5 linked regions of the Nothobranchius furzeri genome follow. The protein of the gene in region 4 binds, or shares a complex with, the protein of the main gene of each other region. Links are inferred from orthologs where the notes say so. Each region holds a gene or a part of one and is shown on either strand. Other genes may lie near its edges. The genes, in order: snrnp40, bcas2, rbm22, cdc40 and rnf113a.

The links.
Region 1: cdc40 (region 4) and snrnp40 share a complex: the UniProt entries of both Homo sapiens proteins name them as parts of the postcatalytic spliceosome P complex. The link is inferred for Nothobranchius furzeri from reciprocal best matches to the Homo sapiens genes CDC40 and SNRNP40.
Region 2: cdc40 (region 4) and bcas2 share a complex: the UniProt entries of both Homo sapiens proteins name them as parts of the postcatalytic spliceosome P complex. The link is inferred for Nothobranchius furzeri from reciprocal best matches to the Homo sapiens genes CDC40 and BCAS2.
Region 3: cdc40 (region 4) and rbm22 share a complex: the UniProt entries of both Homo sapiens proteins name them as parts of the postcatalytic spliceosome P complex. The link is inferred for Nothobranchius furzeri from reciprocal best matches to the Homo sapiens genes CDC40 and RBM22.
Region 5: cdc40 (region 4) and rnf113a share a complex: the UniProt entries of both Homo sapiens proteins name them as parts of the pre-catalytic and catalytic spliceosome complex. The link is inferred for Nothobranchius furzeri from reciprocal best matches to the Homo sapiens genes CDC40 and RNF113A.

What each region holds. Positions count from the first base shown.
Region 1 is NC_091759.1:20,971,948-20,978,038, reverse strand, and holds snrnp40 (U5 small nuclear ribonucleoprotein 40 kDa protein), read right to left. Parts: upstream 3,572-6,091; 5' UTR 3,439-3,571; coding exon 3,328-3,438; intron 2,704-3,327; coding exon 2,574-2,703; intron 2,501-2,573; coding exon 2,407-2,500; intron 2,315-2,406; coding exon 2,149-2,314; intron 2,038-2,148; coding exon 1,915-2,037; intron 1,595-1,914; coding exon 1,474-1,594; intron 1,401-1,473; coding exon 1,318-1,400; intron 1,173-1,317; coding exon 1,111-1,172; intron 1,017-1,110; coding exon 913-1,016; intron 839-912; coding exon 789-838; 3' UTR 663-788; downstream 1-662. Other genes in the region: zcchc17 (zinc finger CCHC domain-containing protein 17), read left to right, coding at 4,507-4,645, 5,270-5,370, 5,471-5,562, 5,663-5,763, 5,851-5,993. UniProt on the Homo sapiens protein: Required for pre-mRNA splicing as component of the activated spliceosome. Component of the U5 small nuclear ribonucleoprotein (snRNP) complex and the U4/U6-U5 tri-snRNP complex, building blocks of the spliceosome.
Region 2 is NC_091755.1:51,936,397-51,942,475, reverse strand, and holds bcas2 (pre-mRNA-splicing factor SPF27), read right to left. Parts: upstream 3,443-6,079; 5' UTR 3,332-3,442; coding exon 3,239-3,331; intron 2,457-3,238; coding exon 2,364-2,456; intron 2,276-2,363; coding exon 2,205-2,275; intron 2,089-2,204; coding exon 1,927-2,088; intron 1,839-1,926; coding exon 1,788-1,838; intron 1,700-1,787; coding exon 1,619-1,699; intron 1,532-1,618; coding exon 1,405-1,531; 3' UTR 896-1,404; downstream 1-895. UniProt on the Homo sapiens protein: Required for pre-mRNA splicing as component of the activated spliceosome. Component of the PRP19-CDC5L complex that forms an integral part of the spliceosome and is required for activating pre-mRNA splicing.
Region 3 is NC_091741.1:95,932,891-95,938,824, forward strand, and holds the start of rbm22 (pre-mRNA-splicing factor RBM22), read right to left. Parts: upstream 3,697-5,934; 5' UTR 3,640-3,696; intron 3,540-3,639; 5' UTR 3,470-3,539; coding exon 3,416-3,469; intron 2,285-3,415; coding exon 2,231-2,284; intron 2,134-2,230; coding exon 2,104-2,133; intron 2,013-2,103; coding exon 1,880-2,012; intron 1,767-1,879; coding exon 1,666-1,766; intron 1-1,665. UniProt on the Homo sapiens protein: Required for pre-mRNA splicing as component of the activated spliceosome. Involved in the first step of pre-mRNA splicing.
Region 4 is NC_091742.1:5,491,047-5,496,851, forward strand, and holds the start of cdc40 (pre-mRNA-processing factor 17), read left to right. Parts: upstream 1-2,455; 5' UTR 2,456-2,489; coding exon 2,490-2,681; intron 2,682-2,948; coding exon 2,949-3,035; intron 3,036-3,552; coding exon 3,553-3,682; intron 3,683-3,753; coding exon 3,754-3,840; intron 3,841-3,936; coding exon 3,937-4,076; intron 4,077-4,578; coding exon 4,579-4,675; intron 4,676-5,805. UniProt on the Homo sapiens protein: Required for pre-mRNA splicing as component of the activated spliceosome. Plays an important role in embryonic brain development; this function does not require proline isomerization.
Region 5 is NC_091745.1:10,007,668-10,013,674, reverse strand, and holds rnf113a (E3 ubiquitin-protein ligase RNF113A), read right to left. Parts: upstream 4,007-6,007; 5' UTR 3,953-4,006; coding exon 3,847-3,952; intron 3,547-3,846; coding exon 3,467-3,546; intron 3,395-3,466; coding exon 3,296-3,394; intron 3,041-3,295; coding exon 2,933-3,040; intron 2,843-2,932; coding exon 2,733-2,842; intron 2,651-2,732; coding exon 2,544-2,650; intron 2,454-2,543; coding exon 2,364-2,453; intron 2,292-2,363; coding exon 2,198-2,291; intron 2,129-2,197; coding exon 2,022-2,128; intron 1,936-2,021; coding exon 1,868-1,935; 3' UTR 1,804-1,867; downstream 1-1,803. Other genes in the region: strada (STE20-related kinase adapter protein alpha), read left to right, coding at 953-1,108; rundc3aa (RUN domain-containing protein 3A), read left to right, coding at 5,963-6,007. UniProt on the Homo sapiens protein: Required for pre-mRNA splicing as component of the spliceosome. As a component of the minor spliceosome, involved in the splicing of U12-type introns in pre-mRNAs. E3 ubiquitin-protein ligase that catalyzes the transfer of ubiquitin onto target proteins.

The sequences.
Region 1 (6,091 bases), on a different chromosome or scaffold from region 4:
CAAATTTAAGACTTTTTAAGACCTTTTTTAAGGCCACTTTGACCAAATTTATGCTATTTTTTAAAATTAAATTTCAGTTATAATTTCCAGCTATTGCCTGGAACCGGTGCTAACCACGTCATGAACGTGGGATTAACCATCCAGTTACCATTAATGTTGCACCTCCCCATGGCGCAAGCTCCCACTAACATGCTCCTCTAAAAACAGCCCCCTTTCACAACCAACCGTATCTGTACAGTTCCGCTTACGCCAACATCATACACAAAAAATCCTGAGCTAACTAGAAATTCACCAAAATTTTATAGAAATAAAATAATCTTGTTTATTGGGTCTTTGGTAATTTAAGACCTTTGGAAACTGTATTTAAGGATTATTTGTCATTTTTAAGGATTTTTAAGGCCTTAAATTTGGAAAAGCAAATTTAAGACTTTTTAAGACTTTTTAAGGACCCGCGGATACCCTGGTTTTAGGAGTCAAAGGAGTCATTTTTGTGGGGCATTTTCCGCCATATTGCTTGAAAAGCTCCTGCTGGTGCTGGCAACCGATTCATTTCCTGTGAAGGACTTGAGACATGTGCAGGGTGTCCCCTGACTGCTGGACCTGACACCAGCTCCCTGCTCCCCTACTGAGGAATCGGTGCTTCAGATAAAAAAAATAAACTCTTTTATAGAATAATGACATTTATTCAAAAGAAATATGTAAAAAACACAAGTTTAGTCTTAACTAAAGCTTGAGAGACAGGCAGACCCCGCCCCACACACACCCACACACACACACACACACACACCTTATTGGATTTCACCCATGTACAGACGTTTATCACTGGAGCCAGACAGCACTGCAAAGACACAGAAAAGAATAAATGAGTGACTTTTTCTTGTGTTTGGTTCCGGTTCCTGTTCTGTCGCTCACCTATGGGCTCCTCTGGGTGAAACACCACCTCGTTAACAGAACCGGCGTGGCCCGGCAGCTTGTAGAGGATCCTGCGAGACGTGGTGTCCCAGATGTACACAAATCTGTAGCAGACGCACAGAGCGGGGAACAAAAGTGGCTCTCAGTGCCTTATCTTTACTCCGTTTGGGTTTAAAAAGTCACCAAAGCGTTTCTCACCGATCGGCTGATCCTGCGGCTACTTTACTGCCATCAGTGGACCAGGAGCACCTCAGCAAGTTCTGAATAAACAGGAAAAGAGGACATGAGAAGAACACAGACCCGGAGCTTTCACAGCTAAAAAGCGGTTTTCTTTAGTCCAGATATGTACGACTTCTCAGATTGACCTAGAAGTGAATTGTTCATTTGTCTGCTAGTGAAGATTACCTTTTCAAAGTTGTGAACATTACCCTGGAAAATCTTCACGCACCTCTCCTTGGGTGCAAACGGCCGCACGTCCCAAATTCGCACTGCAAAGACACGCGAGACTCTTTGAGGGATGCGATTCAAGCACAGATGAGCAGGATCAGAAGCCGAGCATACCAGTGTTGTCCATGGAGTTCGACAGAAGGTATGACCCCTCGGAGCTCAGGCTGAGCCCGGTTACAGAGTCCCCGTGTCCATGCATGTTGTAGATCAGCTTGTTCTGTCGCAGATCCCACACCTGAGCAACACAAAGCTTTCAGATCAACGACCAGGAGAGAATTTTAGGCTGGAGCCGATTTGTTGCCTTCGACATTTCACATTTTTGCAACAATCAACAAAAAATAAACTTGCGTTTGGAGTTGAAGCAAACAAAAATGTAAACAACCAAGGGCTGACAATAAATCTCACTGAACATCTTCAGTCAATCAACTTTAAAATGGCTGAAACAGAGCATCACTGCAACCATCTGCTGTTGTTAAAGGGATTAAAATGTTTAGTCTGACTTTCTTCAAGATAAACAGTTTAATGAGTCCCTTTAAGAAAAACTGTTTTTTTAACCTTGATGTCGTTGTCGATGCCTCCAGACAGGATCTGATCACTGGTGTCGTTAAACGTCACGGCCAGAACCTGGTAGGTGTTCTGAAAGGTGTGGATGGCTCCTTTTTTGCGGATGTCCCACAGCTAGAAAACAAAAAACATCAGGCTAAACAAAACGTGCAACAATGTAGGTGTGTGTGAACGGTGTGTGTTGGACCTCATTTTCACAGCAAAACACCCAGAAAACAGCCTGACCTTGATCGTCCCGTCGTCGCTTCCTGTACAGACCAGCTGAGGACCTCGGCGAGCTGGATAGCAGGTGTTAACAAAGGAGGTGTGTCCCTTCAGACGTTTGACCCTCTCACCTGTCTCGCTGTCCCACACGCCAACAGTCTTGTCCGTGCTGGCTGAAAACAACAAGCTGAACCACACAGACACCTCTGTATCACACTTCTGACTCAAGTTCCGCAATAATCCACCAGATATTAGTTGATCATATTCCACCGTCTCTACCTGCCATCTGTGTTATAATGCAGCTCCATCACCGCTCCGCTGTGACCCTTCAGGGTGGCGTAATTCTCACAGTCTCCATACACGTTCCACAACACTGCAGCATGGTAACAGAGATTTTAAAGCGGTTTTAACAAACATATGTCTGCTACTGTTTGACACAAACTTACATATGAGTCTGTCGAATCCTGAAGAGGCCAACACAGCTCCATTGGGGTGAAACTTGCAGCAGTAGACCTCCCCCTCATGGCCAGACATCAACATGATGGGAGCCTGCATGCTGGAGGTGCGTGGATGGCCCTATGGGGATCAGTGATTTAGGTTTGCAGCATTATGGTGCAGAAACAACAAGTGGTACTTTACTTTAAATGCATACGAGCTGGATGACTTGCTGAGATCTAGCAAAGAGAGTGAAGTAAATGCTCCCTTTAATCATGTAGGAGCTGGAAGTAGATCCTAATTGCACCAGTGGCAATTACAATCTGGTGTTTCCTTAAGCTTGCATTATGATAAAAGGTGATATCTGTGTATATATATTTTACCTTTGATGCACAAGTGAACTCTGATCATCTTGACAGTTTATTTATTTATTATATATGCTTTGTTATTTGAATCAAATATTAAAAAGGAAGGCTGTTTTAATAATAAATATTGTTACCAATAAAATACATAATTACAATAACCAACACGCTCTTGAAAATAGTTTTTTTGCATATTGAATTCTATTGTCAACTATTCTGATGTTTACATTAATCATGAAAACGTGACTAAATCTGCTTACATGGTCCGGTTAATGAATACATAAGTCCCCGGCTAGCATAGCTTGCCCTTTTCTCAAACTTAAAAACATAACTACTATAAAGGTGGTAAGTATGATTTAATCTTGAATGTAAACGCAGTCGGATGTCACCAGGGCTACGTTACCGTGGCCACGAGCTGCTGAGACTGAGCCGCCGCTACTAGCTCCATCCGTGGCCGCTTCAGCGCAGTGGGAACCATCGCCATGTCTCCGGGTCTCTTTAGAGGTTCAATCATTGCGGGGAAAGTTAACAAAAAGCGGCTAAATAGAGTAAATGCAAAGCTAAAACTTAGTAAAATTAACGGACGTCTTCGACGAAAGACGTCTGAGGAAACAAAACCACCAAAGAAGACAGACACTGAAGTACTTCCGGGTTCAAAGCTCGTGATTGGTGGAAATTTGCGCAGGCTGCAGTGATTGGCTGATTTTCTTCCTGGCGTCAATTTGACCTGGAAGTATAACTAGCACAGTTTAGTCGGTGGAAAAGGTATTGCAATTATTTTTATTTCTTAAGAGTTAGAGTCACATTACGCAAAATATATTAATTATAGCACAATTGTCTGGTTTACTAATGTATCATAGAGCAGTTTAACAGGAATAGGTTAGAGGGTTTTATGTAAACACCAATGCTCGTGTTGCGTTTATCCTGTTCATGTTTCCAGAGATATTGTCTCCTATAGTTTTTACTCCGCTCGAATTAATGTAATGGAAAGTGAAGTTTGAGGTAAGATAAATCCATGTTTTGAAAATTAAAACTGATTTACAATATTAATAATTCTATTTGTTCGTTTTTGAGATTAGCCTAGTTTCTTTAAATCTGACAGCTGCAATTTTTGTCTGTGTTCTTTGTTTTTATTTATTTTTTTGTGTTTGGTTCTCAGTCTGTTTCACATGTATGGAGTGTTAGAAAATATGCAGTTACCGTTTAAATAAAATTTAGACCATGGCTGGTCTTTTTAGTCTAGTTTTAATATTATTAAACTGGGTTATTTGAGCTTAATTCTTAATGAAAACGAAGAAAAAACATTTTAATTGAAGGATAACTTCAACTGAACTTGATTTATTGCCTACTCCTGACTTGTGAAAACATAATAGTTGTCGTAGAAAGTAGTTTTATGGATTTTTATTTAATAATTTTTATTCACAATATAAATACTTAAATTTATTCTGTTACTTTGTAAAAGGAACAATATTGCTTTTATTTTGGGTTTCTTTAACTTTTCCTCGTCTTTCGTCTTTTATCTGTGTTGTGTTATTGAATTGAAATATATTTAATCCTCCAACTGTTTGCCCAGATTGAGACGATGTCCAACCGTGACCGCTCGAGTCGAGAACCAGCCGGGCTGGATGGTCTGCCTCCGATGTACAGCATCGCCAAGGGAGAGGTGGTTTCAGTGCAAACATATGGAGCTTTTGTTCGACTGCCTGGTTACAGGAAGGAAGGTTGGTAGAAGGCTGAGAGCTTGTAATCTTTAAAAATGAAATACCAGTATTAGTAATATTAACCAGCTGAGTGAAGTGAGTCCTTTAAAGCAGTAATGGATCTGTAAAAAGAAAAATAGGAGATATTAGATGACTACAGCTAACTTTATATTTTTTATTTAAAAAAAACGTTTTCATTTAATACCATATATTATAATTTTAGTAGCAGATGCAGCACTGGGAAGCATCAACGGCTAAAATAGGAAGAAGTTTGTCCCAAACTTTTTATACTTCATTATCTCTGATGATAAATTCTAATTTTAGTGGTTGCCCTAAAATATTTTGCCACTAGATGGAAAAAAGATAAAAGGTTTGGGTTCTAATTTGAGTATTTATTATCAAAATATAGGTGCTTTTTATGTATTATTCAGGTCTTAATATTAAGTTAAATTAAATTTAAGGAAATGTTTAGATCTCAGATCATCTAAACAAGAATCTATTTGTGTTTCAGGTCATTTTGGCTCAACTGTTTTTGTCTGAAATCCATTGAGGCACACTAAAAATCCTCTCTCTTTCTTTGCTCTCTCTCTCTCTCTCTCTCTCACACACACACACACACACACACACACACACACACACACACAGGTTTGGTACATGTGAGCGAGATGTCTGCCTCTAGGGTTGAAAGTGCCTCAGAGATTGTGGATGTTGGGGAACAGGTGTGGATTAAAGTCATCGGACGGGAGGTAACGCGCACACACACACACACACACACGCGCACACACACACACACACATGCTTACTTTGAATCTGCAGCAAATAAAAATTCTGCCCTCTGACTCTCAGATTCAGGGTGAGAAGGTGAAGTTGTCCTTCTCAATGAAAGCTGTCAATCAAGGGACAGGGAGGGACCTGGACCCCAACAATGTTCAAGCGGAGTGAGTGTCTACATTTGTGTATGAGTGTGTGTTTTTAACAGACCTGTTATAGTCGTGTGTGTGTGTGTGTGTGTGTGTGTGTGTGTGTGTGTGTTTGCAGGCAGGATGCAAGGCGGCGAAGGCAGTTTAGAGATCAGGGCAGCAACAGGATCACACTGGAGGCCGTACTCAACACCACATGTTCAAAATGTGGCTGCAAAGGTACTAAACTACAGATGAAAACAGATTTCACTTCAAAACATATTTTATTTACTTAAGGTTTGCGTATTAACTCTTTACGTCTTTCAGGCCACTTTACTAAGGACTGTTTCTCGGCTCCGGGGTTGCAGTACGCCCTCGTTCCTGAAGAGGACGACGAAGAGCCGCTGAGGCAGCAGACGTCGGCAGCAGCACCTCAGCAAGATTCAGAGAAAAAGAAAAAGAAGAAGAAGGTGATTACAAACCAACTTGGCACGCTCTCATGTGTCCTCGCATGTCCGTGGTTTCAGGAGAAGATGTTTAGAAAAGCCAAACTTTGATTTTTCTGCTG
Region 2 (6,079 bases), on a different chromosome or scaffold from region 4:
GCCCTTGTTTTCATAAAAAATGGCAAAACCCCAGTAATTACCTAGTTGGGGGTGGGGGTGTGGTAGAGGCAAACAAACCCACACCATAACAGATAAATGACAGGTGTTGCCAGTGTTTTTAATATTGTAACGTAGATAAGGCCTGCTTCGTCAGTGTGCCACCCATGACAACCAGGGGTGTCATGACACCAGGAACAGGCGATAGTGAAATATCTCCTGACTTATCGGGCCTACAAAGTCAAGGTCTCCTCACAGGAGAAAAGACTTTTATCTAACTCCCTTTTAATAAAAATATATTATTCTGGCTCATAAAATTGTTTACTTAACAGGTTAAGTATAATTAATGTTTAATCTGAAGTGATATAATATGACTGTTTTACAGTGATGAATAAATCAACATAAAGGTTTATTATTTCATGACCTTAACTCATTTATAATTTGTTCTGCATTATCATAGTAGTAGAAATACAGTATTAAATAGATTTTTAAAAACTAGATTTTTGCCTGTGTCAAAGTATTATAAAGTGTTAGTTCCCTGGCAAACCCAAATTACCTGGTTTTATCATCAAATATTATAGTTGGATTATTTTATAATCCATATCTAGTATTACATTTTATTGAGTACCTTTACATTCTATTGACAATTTATTAAAAGTAACTACTTACAAAAGTTACAATATTCAGTGTCTACTTAAAATGATCAGAGGGGTTGTCCTGGACTTTTTACATCACTAATGAGTAAACAAAGGAACAAATATTCCCTATTGCCCTCATCTCCAAACGAGGGCAAAGATAACTGATCATGTCTGTTCTCTGGTCAAACTGAGAAACCCAGTTGAGCTTAAAAATATCAAATAAACGTGTTACAAAAAACAAAGACAGATGACAATGGAAGTTATTATAAAAGCTCATTTTGTTACAAACAGCATTTTAGAAAATAATAAATGTAAGTTAATGTGGAGTCCTTTCATTTTGGCTTCAAATCTGACAAATTATTTACAATTCTAAAAACTTTGTTGAAAGGCAACTTAAAAAACAGCTAGATTTATGAGGCTTATGTGTAGTAACTATTGGAACTACTGCCAGGGTATCAGTAGCACAAACATAAAACTTAGGACTGAAAACTCAGCTGTGTCTGAAATGACAAAATTGCAAAACAAAACAAACACTAAAGCGCTGCAAACAGAAAATAAAACTATTACAGGTGTGTTTGCGTTTTCAGCCTGAAATAAGATGAGATCGGAATCTACAGTTTTGCTTAGAGCAAACACGATTCTGATAAAAGTTCATTTTAAACATTCCAACAATGTTTTTAGTGGAAAATCCTAAACATGTGGTTGATTTAAAGATCTGTAGAAAATGTGTCTGATTGAGGGAACGTTAGTTTTGAGTTTGCGTGATTCTTCAGAAGTCCTGACAGATGTTCTCCTTGTTCTCGTCTCCCTGCTGTTGCCGGAGCTGACCTACTTCATTCTCCAGCTGGACTATGGCTCTCTCGATCTCGTAGTTTTTACTGACCAGAGACACCCAACTGTCAAACAAAAACACAGATGTTAAGACATCTGGAAACAACGTGTTCTCTCCACACAGTGACATGGAAGTTGTTCAGAAGACACACTTAGACTCCAGCTCGCGTAGTTTGGCCCCCGCTGCCAGCTGATCATTCTTACGCTGCCAGTTCAAATCTTGAATTTGCTTCCTGTCAACCAAAGTAATTGTTAAGCTTCTAAATATGAATTCTCAAAGCCCTTTAAATTAGCAAACAATGTCCAGGCATCGCAATTCACCTGAATTTGTGGAGTTCCTTTTGAGCCATCTCAATCAGAAAAGCCAGATTACTGTGGAAGGAGAACAAAAAAAATAATTAACAGTCTTCAAATAAAACAATGGTACTATTTCTGAAAAATAAAAGCTGCCATAACTCACTCATTGTAGACTTTCCATGCATTTGTTCCATACTGTGACATGAGCTCCAGGTTCTCAATGCGAACTGCTTGGTGCTCCAGCTGGGCCATGGAGTTGTTCACACACTCTTGCCACGCTGTAATGTCATTCTTCTGTCCTGAAGTTGGAGCTGGCAGCTCGTATCTTCACAGGCAGGAAGATATTAGAACATAATGTCCATATTTATTAAAATACTGAGCAAATGATTTGCAAAGCAAACATATATCTTGCAAGGCAACTACCACCAGAGCAGTTTTTACCTTTTCATGCTCAAAAGATCCATAGGCGAACGTGCCGCTAACCGCTCAAATTCGTTTCTCATAATTTCTGTCTGGAAGGGTGAAAACAAAGTGCAGTAAGTTCTGTGTCAAAGTCTGAAAGTCCATAAGAAGACCTCACATTTCTAATTAGATTCTTACCTCAAAAGCAGAGAAGTCAGGTGTAGGTAGGTAGCTCAGGTAGTTCTTCGTAGGTCTGTACCTTCTTGTCTCCTCCTCAACCAATGCAGCTGCCTAAGGGATCAAACAGGGTTTATGTTTGGTTCTGCAGCTTTAAAACCAACTTTCTCATTACTATTCTACGGCAATGCCCTGTCAAGCTTAATTCGCTATTTTGTAATAACAAAGGATGACAAATATTAAATACATAAATAAACTAATATATGAAGACTAAATCTGATTTTAGGTTTACAAGGAGCAAGAAGTACAAAAAGAAGTTATAAAACATCCACATAAAAGCTCCAAAGATGCCTAAAATGGTACTTGTCTATGACGTTGTTTACATCCTTATTTACTAAACGCAAATACAGATAACCATTTGATCACTGTTCACAAGGTTTAATGTGGCATTATCAACTATACAATTCAACAAGTTCACAGTTTGAATCTGAAAGATTCTAGGTGTTAAAATCTCAAATTATGCATCTTTTCCCGTGCCAAACTCAAAGGATAATTAGTCACATTAGAACCCAAATAAACCAAATTTAAAGAAAGGAAACATGTCATAAAATGTCTCTGCGACCTATTATGCAAATATATAAAATTTATATTCGTTTCATGTTGTTTTAACAAAATTCGTGCATTTGTTGAGATTCTTTGGTTTCTTCGTCTAGCAGTCTATTACGCACTAATAAACACTAACCAGCTATATATAAAAATAAACGCGTTAGTTTGGTCTATACAAGTAATATTAATTTAACAGTTAAAAGGCCATCGACTTTAAGGATTAATGAAAGTTTCCATGTAGCGTGTTGGCTAACACGCTTCTGATAGCAAACATTTTTTATTTCACTCACCGCCTCTCTGACACCTGGCGCATCATAACCTTGGTCGAAATACGGCAAAGCATCAACAAACACTTCACCCGCTACTGAAGCTGTCCCGGCCATTTTAATGAGTCTATTTACTGATTAATTTGTTGATTTATTTCTTCCTCGGCGGCTAGTAGCTAACTGAACCCAAGTTCTTTTTCCGGTGAAGAGTTTCAAAATAAAATGTCCTACATTTTTTTCCGTGCTCATACATAATGCTTACGGTTCCGTGTTCGATAGGAATGTGACGAAGGCAGTGCGTGATGAAGATGCACATCGAAGATGCGCATAAAAATACAGTTGAACTCCAACTGTGACCTGTTTTCCCTCTACCCTAATTTTTAGTAAATTTTCCTTGAAACCTTATGTACAAGACCCCATATAAAACTGTGCAAACGTTTTAAACCACCCATAATTTCTTCAAAACACGATTCCAAGACGCAACATTTCCTTGTAATATTTTAATATAGACTTAGTTTTAGAGGCTCCAAGAAGGTTCTTTTAAATGCGCGCGCGCGCGCGTGTGTTTAACGAGCATTAACGTAATTTCCCATTTTCTGTTTTGTCACCTGACTATGACAGCATTGGACCATTTTTTTAATGTAGAAAAGTGGATTGGTAGAAGACACAATTGAAGAATTTGGATCACTGACCCTGCCACCACCACAAGCCATATGTGTGCTCCATTTTTTAAATCAAAATCACATTGGCACCAGATAATATCTCATCCACACCAGATAGTTTCTCAGAAATTATCTGATGCAGACTGATACTATCTGGAGTACATGAGATCTGATGCTCATATGAATCTCTAGCCTGGACAGCCATGCCAATGTGTAGAATAGAAAGGGGGTAAGTCTGGCTGGTGTGCACAAAATACCAGCCTTTTTACCCACTTCAAATGCAAGAAATACATTCCAACAAAAATCAGAGATTTTTAAAAAAAGTATTCAATTGATTGATTGACTGAAAACTTGAGAAACCCATCCTCTTTCATTTGATCATCTCCACAGGTTATCTGAACGATGTTTTTTTTTTTAATTTTTTGGGGGGGATGATTTAATTAATTAAATAAAACATTTGGTTAGTATTCTTTAAAAGAAATATCAGTAACCCTATGATGAAACCTAAAATTAACTACTTTTGGGCTTTTAAGAGGAGATCCTTTCAGTATAGATGAGCTCTCGAACACTCACAAATTGATAAGTTGGCCATGAGTTAAAGCTGCTTTAGTGAATCTACAGTACAAGCTAGGTTTAGAGCGCAAACACCATCACAAAACACGCACCCTCTTCCCTTGTTTACCTTCCCCGAGATACTTCTACTGGAAATGGACACCTGCGTTGCCAGAGTAATTAAACCGTCAGTCACCATAAGTCTAGACATCTTTTGTTGTCAGCAACTTCAAATGGCATTTTTCTTTTTGAGACTTTCATATTTTGTTCTAAAGTTGAAGTGGTAGCAGCCAGCTGTTCCTCCTCTGATATTATTGAGCTGAGCACCTCTCCCACCAGTGTTCTGTTGCAAAATATGTGAGTGCGTAAAAAATGGAGGATCCAAAGAAGTGTGGTGGTTCAGCAAGACCGACAACCAGATGGCCCAATAGTTGCTTTTCAGAACAAAACATGTTTTGGGTAGAGCTTTTTAGAAAAATGCGAAAGAACGACTTAATTTTTCTTGTTTTTTTTAAATCTCCACAGTATATTCATAACTATACTAGAACTCTTAACAGGCATGAACATTGTAAGCCAATTAGTTTTCCAAATTTGTTATAGCAACTTTAAATTCGTCATGGCCATGTATTAAGTTGTGGCCAAGCATTTTGTGGCCAGTCATGGCCTCGAGATATATTTATTCCCTCTAAAATACATCCTCAGGTCTCAGATGTCAAACTTCAGACCATGGGAAATAAGTCCCAGGTTTCAGGAGAAACTGCTTCAGGGGAAAAAAGAGCTTTGACAATTCTGACTGGAATAGCTCCTCGGATGAGAAGCGAAACATCTTCAAGAAACCAAAGAAGTCCAGTTGCCTTAATTTGAAGTATTTTGGATGTTGGTTGTAAATTAAAATGGCTATTTAGTATAGAACATGTCCCATAATAAATAAGTTGGTATTTTTTGCTCATTTTCTTATTTAATAATTTGTGGAAGAGTTATAAACTCTGCTTTATTCAGCCAAAGTCAGATACTCCTTTCATCATCACTGTCAGAGGACATCTTGAAGCAGTATCTGAAAAAGAATTTAGGAAAAACAATCACAAAATATATTGACAGTGGCAGTAGGGGAAAAAAGTTAAAAAATGACTGGATTTAGACACCTATGCTTCCAGCATGTGTGTTTGTGTGTCTGTATGTGTTGTAACATATACAACAGAAAACAAGACTTGATAGTTTAAATGAAACATCTCCAGCACCACTGATGCATTGTACATTGTATAACATTCATTGTATATGTTATGTACCGTGAAAAGGCAAAATAATTTAAATTTGCTGTGGCACAGTTAGAACCCCAGAGTTTTTCTTAATGTCAATGTGCATGTAATTCACAAAACGTGAATTACATGTATACTTAATGAAAACGTGGTACAAGGTGCATGTAATTTTGTCCCAGTCCACACACACACACACACACACACACACACACACACACACACACACACACACACACACACACACACACATATGAATATATATATATATATATATATATATATATATATATATATATATATTCCAGCATGTGTGTTTATATACATATACATATATATACATATATATATATATAAAGCAGGGTCAGTCACTGAAAAAAAAGAAAAGAAAAACATAT
Region 3 (5,934 bases), on a different chromosome or scaffold from region 4:
CATGGCGGAAATACAAGAGACGATTTTGACTTGGGAATGCATAATGACAAAGCATCACTGTAAAACTCAGTTTATAGTCATTAGGGTCAAAAGTTGTACACGTTGTACAGTAAACTCAAAACTGACCATGTCTGCATAACATCATACAGCTGCATCCTGTCCTTCTGCCTCATGGCGTTGGCTTACAGCAGCGCCAGTGGTTATGCTTGCTTAGTATGAGGATTGCTGTAAAGTTATTGACACTTAGGGCTGGGGGTAAACGATTATTTTTAAAACGATTATTCTGACGATTATTTTATCGAATAGTCGACTATTCTAATGACTATTTAGAAAATTAATCTAATGATTATTTTTCTATTGCACAATTAACAAAAACCAGAAAATCTCAAATAAATTCCTCAAAAAAATTGATAAATTCTTACTGTAAGAGAATAAACACTACAGGCCTTCCATTTTGTATAACACTGCTTTTATTGTGTTGCGGTTGGTTATGTTCTGGTGACGTGTAGAACTTGGGAGTGCAGGCTGCTGCCTGAGAGGTGGTAGAAGATGGAGTGTCTCCATGCTGCTTTGTTTTGGTCACTTATGTGCGTGAGGCGAGTGGTCTTACGGGTTAAACCAAACTCAGGTGATATTTTACACTAAACCGAAAACCCACAACACTCTAAATGTAATAAAAGGGAGATCTACACCACAAAAAAGATGAACTCTAAACCAAAACGTAACAGCTTATCCCAACGCAAGAAGCTGTTAGCGAAGATGCTAACAGTAGCTTTACCAACATTAAGTTCAAGTTACCAAGTTTAAATAAACCAAAAACACCCAGCAGCAAACAGACCAGCACGGAGGAGAGACTGCTACCACCAAAACAGCTCTCCTAATGTCTGAAAGAAGCTCCTTAATGAAGGGAGAAGCGCTCCCGGTGATTTTCTACATCTGCGATAGACACGAAGCAGCGCATCTGACCCCGGAAGTTGTTGTCCGTTGCCGGGAGACGAAGGGGCAAAACAGGAAAATAATCTAGTAGTGGACGGACGTTGTTCCGGGTCTTCGGTATTTGGCGGAGATGTTAGTGAAGGCGGAGAAGAGGGCGAACTAGAGGAAAAACAGGCAGATTCCTCCTCTATTTACAAACTCCTGGGGATGCAACAAGTGGGCGCGGTGCGTCGACTTCCGGATCTGACGTCGACAAATTTTTAGAATCGAGCCGTCGACTTCGTCGAGGCTTCGCTACAGCCCTATTGACACTAGTCAGTGACTTGATGCAATTTGCTGGGCTCCTTATGTGAGAAACTTTTTACTGATTGGCTTAATGAACTGACCTGGATTGGAATGTTTACTATGTGAAGTGCCTTGAGACGACTCTTGTCGTGATTTGACGATATATAAATAAACTTGAATTGAATGACCATCCACTTACATTGTTTATGCTAAGCTAAAGCTAACGTAATACTGCCAGGTTAGAAGTATTTGTTTACAAAATGCATTTTCCCACCCATCCAACTCTGGGGAATATGGTAACAGACTGACTTTCACAAAGGGATGGAATATCCCTTTAAGAGAAGATATGCACCACGTTATTTTAAACACTAATCCAACATGGAAGAAGATCAACAAATCCATCTACCAGCTGATTAAGCAGAAAAACAGATCCTGTGATGTTACCTCTCTCTCCATGTTCTGTGTGTAGTACTCTTTATTCACGTCTGACCTGGGAATCTCGTCTTTTACAGACACCCCCGTGTCTCGAACCTGGATGGGCAAACCTGTCAACAACAAGATGAAACAAGGGATTCATTTCATACAACTTTTTTTCATAAGTTATATGATAAGAGTGCAGAGCATGGGTCACAAGAGGAAGTGGGTTAGGGAGACCCACCATACTCCAGGTCCAGCAGACACGTCTGACAAACGTTCTTCATTTTACTGCAGGTCTGACAGACTTCTGTCTTCTTGAAACGCATCCGTGTGCCCGGGCACCACCTGAACACCGTAAAGGGTCGAGCACAGATCTGACAGGGAAAAAGAGTAGCAACTTAGTAACAGCATTAAAGGAAACAGTGGCTTATTTCAAACAGCATAAACATAAAATGCAGCACAAACCTTGCATTCTTTCCCATATTTTTCCTTGGTCTGTTAAAAAACAAGGACATGTTTACACCTGAATGCCTAAAAGTACAAACAGTAAACTACATCCGGAATAAATTATGACACAGGAGAGCACACTTACCATTCGTATGTATGGATTTTCTCCTAAACATGTCTGACACAGAATTGGAAAATCCTGGGAAAATAAAAGATGTTCATTCAGCAAACTAAGCACAACCTTGTGGAACAGTTTCTTATCCCAAATATCTGAAGCAGAAAGTGCTCTGCCTGGGTATCTTGGTTCATTTACATGTGTGAAAACAAGAATGCAGTGGGAAGACATGTCCTCCATTTACACATCTGTTAAAGGATGCTGTTTCAGTCTAATGTGAGCTGCTGAACATGACCAGGATTTAATCCATCCTTCTGACAGCTTCGGCCAAAAATCTAAATATAAACAGCTCTTGTAGCTTTAACATCGACTACTTAAGGCTACAGACTTTACAATCGGATGTTTCAAGAAAACCAATTTTTGTTACACACTGTTGTCCAGTATCTCAAAAAAGGCATCTAATGTATTCCCTTATTTAGTAGGGCTGCTTGCCGTAAACATTGCTGTTGAAATAGTAAAAAATTCATATTAATAACTAAACAGTGTACTTTACAAAGCATAACTTGACCAATTATCCAGAAACAAGACTTACAAATGGTAAAAGCAGGTTCTGATTAACCATTGAATAACTGTGTATATCTTGATGATTTTGTGGATGTGCCAACTTTTACGGTCCGAAATATTACCATGACGCCGATTATAAGTAAAAAACGAGTATGTGCTTATCTAGTAGCTAAATGACTATTGCTATATTTATGTTAGAGCTGTTAGGTATTGGTCTAATTTCTCGTATACTCGCATAAAAAATAAACCGTCATTTTAAAGATATAACAGTAACATTTTACCTAACTACATTCAGGCTACAATGTTAGCCTACTAGCTTGAGTGGCTAACTTTAGCATATTTCGTGTTAACGTAACGGAATAAAATTGGCTTAAAGCCACATCTGAGTGATCGCCACTTACTATATACAGCTTGTTCTGAGATTTTAGTTGGACAAAAATACATGCATATAAATATTTCTGTTCATATTAGATGCTAAACAAAATAGCAGCCACGTTGCTACATATAGCTAACGTTAGCTAGCGGAAGGCTAACTATATACTAAGCAAACTGGGCAGATTTGAAAAACAGCATTAGACAGAGTGTGGTTACTGGTAAATATTTCAATCAGTCGCTCATTTATGTGAATATTATGATCGTAGATTAACGTACCGCGTCCTCCCAATTCTGTCTATTGTAGGTGTTAGATCCCAGGGAAGTCGCCATTTTGCAGAATGTGAGCCAAACACCGACAGAGGTCCACCCACAAAGCCTCGCGTCGCCTTTGGATGTCGCCCTATTTCAAGAAACTATCGTCTTAATTTCACTTCTGAAAATGCCGGTTATAAAATATGTTTTGGCGTTTATCGGTCAGTCAGTAAAACGATTGTACCAACCTGCAGTACAGGAGCCACAACAACGTGCAACGTTAGCTTATTTTTAAAATCTCGCGTGAAAAACATGAGCAAGACAAAGCAGAGAGAATGAGCTGCTGTGCATGAAAGTACATGCACGATTTATTGTACAATAGAAAGTTTTAAGCCACCGCGCCAGTTTAAAATAACTTTATTCCATCCTCTTTTACTGCCACACGAATATAGCCCAGTTTAGGGTCTAGCCACATGGGAGAGCCAATTCACTCTTAAACATTTAAAAATAATGTTTCATTATTTAAAATTGCCCGGTGTGAGTCAAAATATAAGTAACAATTTTCAGAGCAGTGATTACACAGTTATTTAGTTAAATGTACTGAATTAGATACAGGCCTAATCCTTTTCTAATGCTTTGCCTTTAGCTAAACCAAAAGAAGAAAATACACGCTCCAGCATATGCCTCCTGTGTGTGTGTGTGTGTGTGTGTGTGTGTGTGTGTGTGTGTGTGTGTGTGTGTGTGTGTGTGTGTGTGTGTGTGTGTGTGTGTGTGTGTGTGTGTGTGTGTGTGTGTGTGTGTGTGTGTGTGTGTGTGTTGTGCTTTACTCTGCTAGAATATCTGTGGCTCGACTGATAACATTTCCCATTTAAAATTTCCCATTACAGTAAAATGCAGTGTTGTTATTAAATAGACTGTCAGGAACTGACACTAAGCATTTTTTTATTTTTATTAGATAAGCGTGTACTTTTATCAAAACTTAATAAATTATTCATTTGCTTTCTATACCTCTTTGCATTTGAGTGACAGAGAAAAGGGAGAAACAGACTGATTGGCAAACGCTTCAGAGCCGTCTAAGCCTATTGCGCTGACCACTTATAGTTTAGCCATCCACCTGGTTCGAACCTGGTTGGGGTGTCTTTGTTGTGTGAAACTCTGATTAGTGTGGCCAAAGGATGCTGAAGATAATGGCTGGGGACTAAATCCTGAATGTTTATTTAAGTGCAGAGTGAGGTTGTGGTCACAGGGCAGAGATCAGATATGGGTCTGGAGAGCTCGGGGACGCTCCCCTTTTGGTGACTCCATAGATAAAAACATCAATACTGAACCAACTTTAAGTACAAATCTGTCACTTGCCCTGTGGTCATAATGGAAATTTCCACTGGCCCTCTACCTCTTGCATCCCTCCTTATCTGGGCGAACAGTCGGGATTTTCACCTTATTATTTGTAGGACACCAGAGTAAACCCTCTGAGAATCCCTAATGAGTCATGTGACCTCTCATGTGACATATGGATGAGATGACCAAAGCCGTTTTGAAAGGATTTGACTTGGATTACACTGCTCTGTAATCAAAATCTTTTGAGTCACAAGGTCAGATATGTACGCGTTCAACTATATGTCAGATGCTCATTGTTCCAGAGCTCTGGAGTCCTGTTAGATTTGATAAATACACTCATTTGAATGAGCCAGAGTCTAAAACTAACATCATGATGGAGTTATAGCTGTTTTGAGCAAATCTTCAATAACATGATCTCACACAGTGTTGCAAGATCTCTTGTAATGGGTTAGCACTCAAGAGTGCTGTGAATTCCTCTCAGCATGACAGTGTGGCTCAATATCTATAATAAAGTGTTGCAGCCATTTTTGTGTTTGCTGTGAATCCGTTGTGACCCAAACAGGGTAACAGATCTTCAGGGGTTCCCTAGTGACAGTGCCTCTACCCCGGAAAATTACTACCATATTTGACGGCTTTATTACCCAACGAGGATCCATGATGATTTCAAATCTTAGAATAACAAAGTACAGGAAACAGTTGACACAACATTTCCTCTGCCCCTGGCATTGGCGGGGGGGGGGGGGGGGGGGGGGGGGGGGGGGCATGGCACTTAACATTTAACAGGTCAATCCTCAGCATGCACTGAAATGCACCCCTGCACAATGCTAACTCCACAATAAAACATTGGTATATCTCAAGGTGAATCATAGTAACGGTTAAGGGTGAATAATCTAAAGATTTGTCTTAGTGAGATCATGCAAGGTGAGAAAATGTTCAACTACAGGAATCAGAGCTTGGGGGTTGGACCTGTACGGTTTGAGAATTAGGCTGTCTTTTAACATCCTGGTGACAGCTGCTTTTCAGGGGTGCTGATTTAGATTTCAGGAGTGCTCAGCCACCCTGAAAAACAGCCTAATCCCATCCCTGAAACCTGTGATTACTTATTAAGATTCCAGTGGCTCATCTCACAGAAACATTAATGGTTACATTTTTGGCAAAGATGTCATGAGATTGTGGAACACTCGTGTTGTAAATGATTATAAGCT
Region 4 (5,805 bases):
ACACACTCAACTTGTTAATAACTAAAAGGATTGTTCAATACCTGCTCAAATAAACAAGGCAATTCTACAGACTCGTGGATTTGTAAGTAGCATTAATGAAGAATACAGGATCATATAGAACAGAAATATGTAGATTTACAAGCAAACTACCTGTGTACAGGCACTGACTTTGTATGCCTTAGTAAACAGCCATTTACAGTATCGATGCATAAAATGTAAATAGTAGGAACTTGAAGTAATCAATTGTAAATATCTTTTCACTTGAAGAATGCCATAACTGTGAAAACCAGTGCAGATTATTATACATGTGCAACACTGTTAAACCATTTTTCAGTAAGATAATTGTAATTTTTCCATGTGTTTATTGAAAAGGAAAAAGCTGACTAATCACAGAAATAATGATTAGTTGATTAGAAACAAGTGCTCAACTAGAACATTTGGAATTTGTGTTACAGCAGTTCATGTTTTCAACTTAAATATCAAATATTACAGAAAGTTAGCAAATCGGTAGCAAGTATGCAGGTGCTTCAGTATTGTAGTGGGCATAATCATCAACAGACACGTTTGTTTTATAAGAGGTTAAAAGTAATTTGTTTTAACCAGCGTTTCAGGATCATGAGGACATTTTCAGTCATGTCTTGGTGAAGCAGCAATGAAAAACGTGTTTCTTGATTATGTAAATAAAAACATTTAAGAGCATATTTTAGCCAAGAAAGCTCATTAGCAAATTCTAGTTTAAGGCTTCTATAGGAGAACAACAAGCAGACATGTTTCAAACTTTAATTAAAGTGCTCTGATCCTGGATCTGGGAAGGTTCTGGAGTGGCTGGTCTGAGGAGCTGGAGAGTGATGATGGAGAAGCAAGACAGAACATCTTCAGAAGCTCCTGTAAGACAAGTATAACAGTCGTTAAAAAAAAAAAAAAAAAAAAAAAACAATAGTGTGGCCAGGTGGATAAACGAGGACTCGGACGGGATTCGATCCCCAGACTCCCGGGTAAAAGTTATACGCTCTAACCAGTCAGCCAAAGGAACATTTGCTTGGCCAAGTAGCCAGGGCACATCATCAATCGGGATGTTGCGACAGCACACACACACACACACACACACACACACACACACACACACACACACACACACACACACACACACACACACACACACACACACACACACACACACACACACACACACACACACACACTGTCACAATAGTAAATACTGAAAGTGGATGAACTTAAGAAGAATGGAGTTTTGGACAGAAAGAGCACTGATGTTTCAGCTGGACTCACGAGCCACGAGGACAGACTGATACGGCAGCCACACTTTTAAGTAATCATCAGGTCTGACTGAAACAGCGTTTCTGCCTTTTACAGGTGGACAGAAAAAATAATAATGTTGACACATTGTTGATAATATTACTACATTTCAAGGCTTTTTCAATACAGTGAAATTAGTTGAAACAGAGCCGAGTTGTATTAGAAAACAGCAATCCGCACAGCCCGACAGCCCGGCGAATCTGGGATGAATTAGTGCTGCCTCAACCTCCTCGTCTTTCATTGGGTCACTGGAGTTTAAATTAAGTGGATGAGAAACCCATGGGGAGGGCTCTGCATAAATGAGAGTAAAGTTGAATTTTAAACGCGTTAAAACTGTCACAAAGTGGCGTTAAAAGCGGCGTTTTATGTCACAGGACGGCGAAAAAAGCGGCGTTCAATGTCCGGGACCGTTCAGAACGGCGTAAATTACGGCGTTCTGGCAGAGTTTTCGCCGTATTTTACGACGTCTTGGCACGTCAAACGGCGTTTTTTTCGCCATTTCTTAACTAGACGGGTTGGGAAAGTGGCGTATTGTGACGGTTTTGGCTTGCCATAGTGTGCTCGTGGGAGGCTCGCGGACAGCGCGTGCACCCGCAGCATTGGACAGAAATCCAAACCGTCATAATGTGTTGTCCAATGGATTATAATGAAAATTTAGAATTTATTCACCTAAATTACAGTAATAAAACACGTTCCTTCAGAATAAAATATTGAACAGTAGAAAAAAATAGCTTTTTCGTGACAGTTTATAGTTTTAGTTGAGTTCAGTTAGTCAATCACAAGGTATTTTTAACCCTGATTTGTCGCTCTTACAAAGCAAAATATGTAAAAAAAAAACATAAATGCATATTTTGGGAAGTTGTATATGCTGGATACAAAGTGTCTTAAGTTATTCCTGCAGTACCTTTAATGAGAAGTTTTTCTTGTACTTTCAAAGCAGTTTACTGAGCATCTTATGGGTTTTCGGAGGGTGTGCATTGTTTACTGAAGATTCAGGACTTATTCATTTTATATAATATAATATAATATAATATAATATAATATAATATAATATAATATAATATAATATAATATAATATAATATAATATAATATAATATAATATAATATGTCTTTCTTTTTCTTTAGCGGAAGTCCCGCCCTCCTGCTTCCGGCGACTTCACAACATTCAACATGTCTGCCGCTATAGCTTCCCTCGCTTCGTACGGTAGCGATTCCGACTCAGAAAATGAGTCTGAATCAAAGCCTGGTACCGAGAAAGTTGCCCCGGTGGAACCGGACGCTACGACACACCTTAAACCTTTGCAGCCTGGTTACAAAACATCTCTAGCTGTTCTGAATTCAGCCCCGGAGGTCGCCGTGAAGGTAAGCTAAGAGAAGTAAGCTAAATGACGTTAGCTCTACGTAGAAGTTGAGCTAGTTATGAACTTTGTTTCTAGTATACACTTAATTTTAGCCATAGAATTAGATATCGGTCTGAACCTACATGTAACAGTTTCACGCTGGTGTTTTCTTTGTGTATTTAAATTGGCCTATTTAGGCTGATGTATGGCACAAGTTATTCGCATTATAGTTAATTCATAGGTTTGGAATATCCCTTTACCTGAGCACATATTTCTATTTTCATGTTAGGAGTCTGTGGAGACTGGTATTCACTTGGATCCTTTTCTCAAAGAAGTTACTTACAACCCAACATATGAAACCATGTTTGCTCCAGAGGTAAGTTAGAGAAACTGATCATGTAATTTTGTGCGTAGTTCAATAGTTCGTGTTTATTATCTTAGCATTTTTGCAATAACCCTTTTTAACCTTCTGAAACTGAGCTTTGTAATAAAGAGTTATCATCGCAAGGTGCTTAAAGACTACTTTGTCCATTTTGTATTCATTTTGATGATTGTCAAATTCACTCGTATTTGGGATTTTGTAGTTATACGTTTCTTCTTTTTGAAATTTTCCTTTCCATCTGGACATTGATTTTTTTCAGCTATCCTTTAACTATTGTAAGGCACAGATGCATTGATTTTGTTTGTCCCAGTTACTCCCACTACACCACTTCAAACAAGCTTTAGTCCATCCTGTAATTCTTGTATTCTTAAATCTGTACTTAAATATTTAAATCTGAATGCTGGTCACAATTTAAACCTTGTTGGGTAGCAATGCATCAATCAGTGCTTAAGTGCATAAATAAGTTTATCCTCCTCACAGCGAATGATTGTTTTATCCTGCTTCCTCTTAGTTGGGACCGCAGAACCCTCATAGGACGCAGCAGATGGCAGCTCCCAGAAACATGTTATCTGGCTATGCAGAACCTGCTCACGTCAGCGATTTTATGTTTGAACAGCAGAGGAGGACCTTCTCTTCATTTGGTAAGATAATTCGTAGCTTTTTAAAGAGTTTGCAGTGATTTCACTGACTCTGTTTTATTTTCTGCTCAAAGGTTACGCTTTAGATCCTTCCGTTGACACACACCAAGTATCCTCTGTTAGCTACATTGGTGCAGTGGATGAGGCTGAGAAAAATAAAGGTAAACAAATATTTTTGACACTTTTTTAATGCACATCTTCATCAGATTATATGTTATGACATGCCCAAGCAACAAGTTAAACCACTTTTCCTCCAGGGATGACTGTGTTTGAAAGTGGTCAGAAAAAGTCAGAGAAAAGGAAGAAGGTTAAAGGTGGTGATGCAGGAGAGATTGATGGCTTTCTTGGACCGTGGGCGAAATATGTGGATGAGAAAGATGTGGCTAAACCAACAGAGGTAATGTTTTCTGTATAACATTCTCTGGCTGCTTCTCTACATAATTGGCTTGTTTAAAAGTTAATGTTCTTTAATATTGCAAGGATCAGTATTGAACAGGTCCTACAAGCATCACATTAAGATTTAATAAATGTTTTCTGGACCTCTAAAATAAATCATCCAACTAAAGAGTTTATTTTTTAACATTTCTCTTTTAAAAGCTCTCATCGCTGACCTATTGTATATACACTTTCAGAAACACAGTATGTGCTTTTTCAGGTGCTGCATTAGTAAATATTCTGTAATATTTTGACGTAATTTTGTCAAGTCGATCAAACACTGTGGAGGCTGATGCTTAATCCTGGCTATGTGATCACACTCGCCTACGCAACATCCTCAGGCTTCATAATCAGGCATCCACTCAAGATGAAACATATTTCCGTTTGCTCAGCTCGCCATGTTAATTAAATAAAATCTGATCATTGCTGGTAAATTTTCTCATAATTTGTGTTTTACTGCACAGGAAGAGAAGAAAGAGCTTGATGAGATCACAGCCAAAAGACAAAAGAGAGGAAGAAATGAAGAAGAGGCTCCTTCAGAGGAGAAGACCATTCTCCATGGTAATTTGGCTTTTTTATATTTCAATTGACAATTGTAGGTAGTTACGGAATAGGATTAGGGCCACTGGGAAAATAATAAGAAAAAGAGAATTCTGACTTTTGTCTTAGAATTCTTACTTGTTCTTCTCAGAAATTAGACTTTAATCTCAGAATTCAGATTTATTTTTCTCAGAAATCTGATTTATTTTTCTCAGAATTCTGACTTTATTCTCAGAATTCTGACTTTATTCTCAGAACTCGAACTCGTTTTTCCTCAGAATTCAGATTTTTTTGTCTCAGAATTGTGATTTCTTTTTCTCAGACTTCTGACTTTATTCTCAGAATTCTGACTTGTTTATCTCAGAAATCAGATGATTTTTCTCAGGAATCTGATTTTTTTCTCAGAATTCAGATTTTTTTTCTTCTCAGAATTCTGACTTTTTCCTCAGAATTCAGATAATTTTTTTCTCAAAATTCTTACTTTATTCTCAGAATTCTGACTTTTCCCTCAGAATTCAGATATTTTTTTTCTCAAAATTCTTACTTTATTCTCAGAATTCTGACTTTTTCCTCAGAATTCAGAATTTTTTTTCCTCAAAATTTTTACTTTATTCTCAGAATTCTGACTTTTCCCTCAGAATTCTGATTTATTTTCTCAGAATTCTGACTTTATTCTCAGAATTCTGATTTATTTTTTCTCAGAAATCTGACTTTATTCTCAGAATTCTGATTTATTTTCTCAGAATTCTGATTTATTTTCTCAGATTTCTGATTTATTTTCTCAGAATTCTGACTTTTGTCTCAGAATTCTGACTAGTTTTTCTCAGAATTCTGATGTATTTACTCAGAATTCTGATTTATTTTCTCAGAATTCTGACTTTATTCTCAGAATTCTGATTTATTTTTTCTCAGAAATCTGACTTTATTCTCAGAATTCTGAATTGTTTATCTCAGAAATCAGATTTTTTTCTCAGAAATCTGATTTTTTTCTTCTTAGAATTCTGACTTTTTCCTCAGAATTCTGATTTTTTTTCCTCAGAATTCTGACTTTATTCTAGGAATTCTGACTTGCTTAGCTCAGAAATCAGATTTTTTTCCTCAGAATTCTGACTTTTGTCTCAGAATTCTGACTTGTTTTTCTCAGAATTCAG
Region 5 (6,007 bases), on a different chromosome or scaffold from region 4:
TTTTACTTTATTAGCTTAACAAATCTGACACTTTTCTTTTGCTTTAAATTTTTTTAAAGAGAGACTTCGCTGAGAAATTGTTCTTTTACTTAATTATGAAGAATGATCTGTTTCATATGCAGGCCGAATGTGAAAATAGTCCTCTGCCTCCATTTTCTGCTTTTGCCGCTGATAGAAAATAGACGGAGAAATGATCACATTAGAAAAGCCAATCAGATCTACAATGAGAAGAAAACAGATGGAGCACTCAGGGAAAAAAAATGTCTGACCCGAGTGCTCTAGCTCTTTTCTTTCTTTTCCACAGCTGTCGAGCACCGAAGTACAGTTGGATGAAGCGTAGAGTGCTCGTTATAGCCAGTCAAATCTACGTCACACTGACTCACTCATATTGGCTCGTAACCGGGAAGGCCGTTGTTGATTTCGCACCCAGGAGAGAGCAGAGCATGCCTCAGCTAGTAGAAGCTAACAGCATTAGCAATTCCACAACATAGCAGAACTCCTTCAGGCTCGTGTTATTTGTGGAGATAAAATGTTGCAGGATGTCATTGTTAGTTATGTTGCTGTTAGCCAATCAGAGGCGAGATGTTTGCATACCAGGAAGTAAAACTCCAAATCCTGCCGTGTTTTGCCCCCCCACTCCTCTGGCTAACCTGTAGTTCCTGAAACAAGAGCACCAGAGCTTTTACACCCCAGAGGTCAACTCGCAAGGCATTCATTTTTACTAGAGACCACTGCAGGTGTGTAAGAAAAGTGAGTGAACTTGGTCTTAACCAGTTCAAAGCAAAGTTCAGAAAATAAATCTTGTAACTTTTTTGTGTTTTCGGCAGCAGAGTAAATCCGATCTGGACATGAAAATATTCCTCATGATCACATTTCAAGTTCAAACATTGAATATGGACAACAGGGCTAAAATATAAGCTGCAAGTCTGACTGACAATGTTTGACTTTTTAGATCAAACGCAGACCGTCAGAGGCTCTACCCGAGCTGCTGCAACCCGTGTCGCCCATCACCTGCTTTGAGAGCACCCAGCCTCTGGACTCGGTTTCTGGACTGGCGAGTCTGGAGTCGGGTTTCAGCCAACTGGAAGTAGATGACTGGGACTTCTGAGAGTAGAGGACTTTGCGGGAAAGACGAGCTCAAGATTGTACTGAGCGACTGTGCAGAGGATGGGATTTTACGAATCTTAGTTGTTCTCAGAGGTTAAAAGTGAAGTCATCTACCCTCTTGTTGGTGACTCACTTCACTTTTGTTCTCTTTGCGGATTCTTGCTCTGCACTGGTTTATCTCACACAGGTATTTACACGGATTGTACTCTACACACACCCACGAACCAAAAGGACAACTCTTGAGTTTTCTAAAGGTAGATGTAGCCCAAACCATAAAGGTCAGGAGACGGATCAATGAAATGCTGCTACGTAATATTACCAGGAGACGCTCCACCGTTTGTGTTAACACGATTTGGTCCGTCTGCTCCAGGAGACGACCATAAGGGCACCTAGCAGTCCTCTCTGAGGACTGACAGCATTTCTTAGCTCCGGTCTGCTACAGCAGATGCATCGTCTCACGGTTCAGACTCTTTTGTTGCACAGGTTGTAATTATTAGTTTAGCATTAAGAGCGTAAAAGTTAGCCTTTTCTTCGGCTCTCTGGGTGTTACTGACGTCAGATGTAAATGTTTTCTTGGTGCTGGTTTTGTCTGCATGTATATTTGAAAGTTTGGACAAAGCAACGTGTTACAAATGTAAAACTTTTACTACAAACCCAGGCCTGCTTCAGTGTTTCAACATGATTGTACAAAAGGAACCGAGGCCATGAACTTTATTAGAAATGTACACAGACAAACACAGAGAGGGTTCTAAAGCGTGTTCTAATCTTCTTCGTCTGACGGTGGCTGGTCGGCTAAAGCGTTGCGTTTCTCCATCTTGGCAATCAGCTCTAGAATAAATGACAATAAAACATCAAGTGTGACTGTTTACTTTGGTTTCTGCTCCTCTTGGATGTTTTTGAGCAAATGCATTTACCTTTAGCGGGGTTGAAGACACCATTGGTCTGAGTGTTGCACACGTAGCAGCGCTTTGACTTGCGATAATGCTGAAGAGCACAGCTCTCACAAAAATAGTGCTTACACCTAAGGAAACAGCGATTACCAGCCGGTAATAAACAAGGACTGAAGGAGAGAAACCATCGCAGTACTTACTTTGTGATGATGGGATTTTTAAAAGATTCTCTGCAGATGAAGCACTTGAAGGGCAAGTCTTCATCATCACTGCTCACCTCATAGTTCTCGTCATCTAGATGAAAACACATCAGAAACTTAGTCTAGCCAGCAAAAGAGAAGATTTCAAGTTCGATTATTTACTCACCATTTGCTCCATATCTCCCTTCCTCCAGTTCCCTCTCAATCTGCCAGCCGTGTTTGTAGTCCGACCTGTCATGGAGGAACTTGCAGCTGTCTAATGGCAACGGATGCAATCATGATTAATAAACAAAACCTTTGACTTCACAGTAGGAACGTTTTAAGAGTTCAGATTGTTTTCACCAACCCCCAAATCCACAGAAACCCGTCTCCTTGTAGTCTTTGCAAATATCCGGTTGGTAGTCCCACCGGACTGTAGCTCTCAGGTGTTCAGGAGCTCGAATCGGTCCTTTTCTGTAGCACAGATTGAACGTAACCTTCAGCATCTATAGGTGAACAACATCTTCTGACTGCATGTGAATATCTCTTGCCTCACCTGACCATGCCTGAAGAGGCATTGCCCATGGTGGTGTCTTTAGGCTTGATGAATTTTTGGTAGTTATTGATGCCACGGTATATTTTATCATCTTCTTTACCTGTTAGCTCCTAATGAGACAGAGGAGGGAAAGCTCAAATGACGAAGGTGAGATTTTGATTATTTCTCATTTTATATTAACCAATAGCGGCATGTCCTACCTCTTGGATTTTCTGACTCCTCTCAAAAATAGCTTGAGCATCCTTGTCTCTCTCTGTGTCCAGCTGATAAGTGGCAGTTGCACCCATGTCTTCAGGCCCCTCGGGTTTCTTTTTATGAAGGCAAGGTACAGTAGAAAGTTTTAAAGTAAATAAAAACAACTGTTCAGGGCACATAGTCATGTGTACGTGGATGAGAATGGTCTGTAGATTGTAAAATAATGTTAAAATTTGCTTTTCTGGTGAAGTTTCAGCCCCTGTATGTTTTGTCTCAACAGCCAGGTTGAGCCATGATGGAAAAAAGATCAGTGTTTGACTTGTACTGTCTGGCTCTGACATTTTTGAATGAATGCAGTCTGAACTCACCGCTGATCGGGAAGACTTGTAAGCAACCGTTATCTTTTTGTCTCCCTTTTCCTCCTCGCTTTCACTAGAAGACACAGCGTCCCTCTCCACTTTTTTTGTCTGAACAAAGAATACATAGATCATTCACGTTGCTGCTTCATAACTAAGTATCTATTAGCTTGCCTGCTCTACCTTTTGAATCATGGGGTTGACTCGAGCATCCTTCTTTTCTTTTCTGACCACAGCAGTCTGTTCAGTGTCACTATCGCCATCTAAAACAAACAAACAAACACACACGCGCACACACACACACACACAATTGGTGTAAACAAACATTACAAAATCTATTACAATTAAACTAGGTTACTTCCCCTCTTTGTTTAAATGTAGCTTTCAGGTGATAAACCATAATGTTTTTGGTCCTGTTTATTATGGAGGATAATATAAACAAACTGTTTGGGTCGCGGTTTTGATCTCCCTGATGAGAAGCCGCTATCAATTCTATCCAGAGGACAGACAACGCTAGTTAGGAGAAAATTACAAGGAAATGTATCTAAATGATAGTTTACTACCTTTATCGCTGTCACTTGCTTTTCGTTTTCTTCCGGAGAATTTCTTGGTGGATTTTTTAAACAAAAACGTACAAGTAGCTGCTTTTGGTTTGTCTGGGTCCGCCATGTTTTTGTTGGTGTAAGAACAGTGGCTGCCAGAGCAGTAGCGCCCCCTGTTGTTCTGGAGGCGAAACGTGACGCGCTCCTTCTGCCAAAATGAGATTCACAACCGTCCATAAATCAAAGTCAACGCGGCTCTGGCTAGAATGGTAAACCTAAAATATTATGTTAGAACGGACGAGGGCCAATGAAAACAAAAGAAAAATACAATAAAAAAATGAACAGAAAGATAATTCTGACTTTAATCTCAGAATTTTCAGATTTAAATCATTATTCTTTGTTTTCAGTGGCCTTAATCCTCTTCCGTAGTACTTGAAATAATTTTTAAAAGGTAATTTTAGTTTTAAACAGAAAAATAATTAACGCATTTTGATTGGACACTAAATGTATAAACGATTAATAAACAAAATACACAAAAATAGCCATTAGAAATGTCGTTGATAAAAAGAAGAAACGATCTTTTACAAGACCGCTCAAGATAATAATCATGAGCAGGCGCTTCACAAGAACAACAACAACAACAACAACCATAACAACAAAAAACAAAAAAAGAAAGAAAAATAAATAAAAACGAATGACATAAATTTGTAAGAAAATTTTATGTTTAACTGCTTTTTGTCTAAATAATCTTTTGACGTAACTGATGCCAACACAATCTGTCTATAAGTGATTAAATGTATTGTTTATGTCAACTTGATAACAAGAACTCAATTAGTTTCTGGCTTTCGAGAGTAGGGTTTTTTCCAACCTCTGGCGGTCAGAGGCGGTTACTACAGTGTTCACATAAAGTTGAACAACACATAACCAATTAGCACTTCCTATAAATCCTTTCAAAATAAAAGAAATAACAAGAGGTCAGAAGGTCTGCAGTTATATAAACTACACAACCGATGAAGCTTAATAAATGTATCATAATTATCTGTGTTAAACAAGATTAAATTAACGCGCTAAAACAAAAACTATTAGCAGCATTACAAACACATCAGATCATACGCCCTCTGGTGGCCTATTGTCCCTCTGCTGTAGACTCAGAGGAACATCAAGTAATTCTTTTTGATTGTGAAATTTAACTAACAAGTTTGTAATTTCTTCTCAAACATTTCAGATATAAAACAATTTAGGCCACTATCAGGTGTCTGCCCTGGGATTGGGAGATCGGGTTTGAATACCGGTCTAGTCATACCAAAGACTTTAACAAGGAACCCAATCCCCCCCCCTGCTTAACACTCAGCTTTAAAGGGTTGCATTAGGGGGTTAAACAACCAAATTACTGAGCGCAGCCACTGCAGCAGCTCCCTGCTCTCCATCGGGATGTGTCAGATGTGGAGATGAATTTCACCAGTGTGATGATGACTATGGGACTTTAACTTTATTATTTGAACACACACACACACACACACACACACACACACACACACACACACACACACACACACACACACACACACACACACACACACACACACACACACACACACACACAAATGTTTGAGGTCATTTTTGTTTTAAACCGGAAAATAATGCGTTTTAATTGGACAATAAATGTAGCTATAAACTACTGAAATAAAAATAAAACATAAAACACTAAACAAAATACAGTAAAACTATAACCATTAACCAATAAAACATAGTTCTGAATCTCAAATAAACACTTCTACTTGTAATTGTTCATTTGGCGGGGCTATACGAAGTCTATGAAGGCATAAAATGAATCTATTCTTCGATATTACCATATAGAATGCAAACCGAAATATCAGAAATGAAAGCATTGCTGGTTTCTAACAGTTTTATTAAAAACCGATAGGAATTTTGGTTTTATTTTGAAACGCTTAACCGGAAACAGCTTGTTATCACGCACAACCTGACGCTGATACCTCCGGTCGTCCTGCAGCAGCAGCGGCGGCATCCTTGGCGTCCTGCGGAGGACAGCGGGTGGTGGTAGGACGCAGGACCGGTGGAGGGGGCGGTCCTGGCCTGGGCACGGATCCCGAAGAGGCCCCGGGGCCGCCGCCGCTTAATGGAGTCGGGCTGCATTCAGACAGCAATGGCTATGGGTTTGACA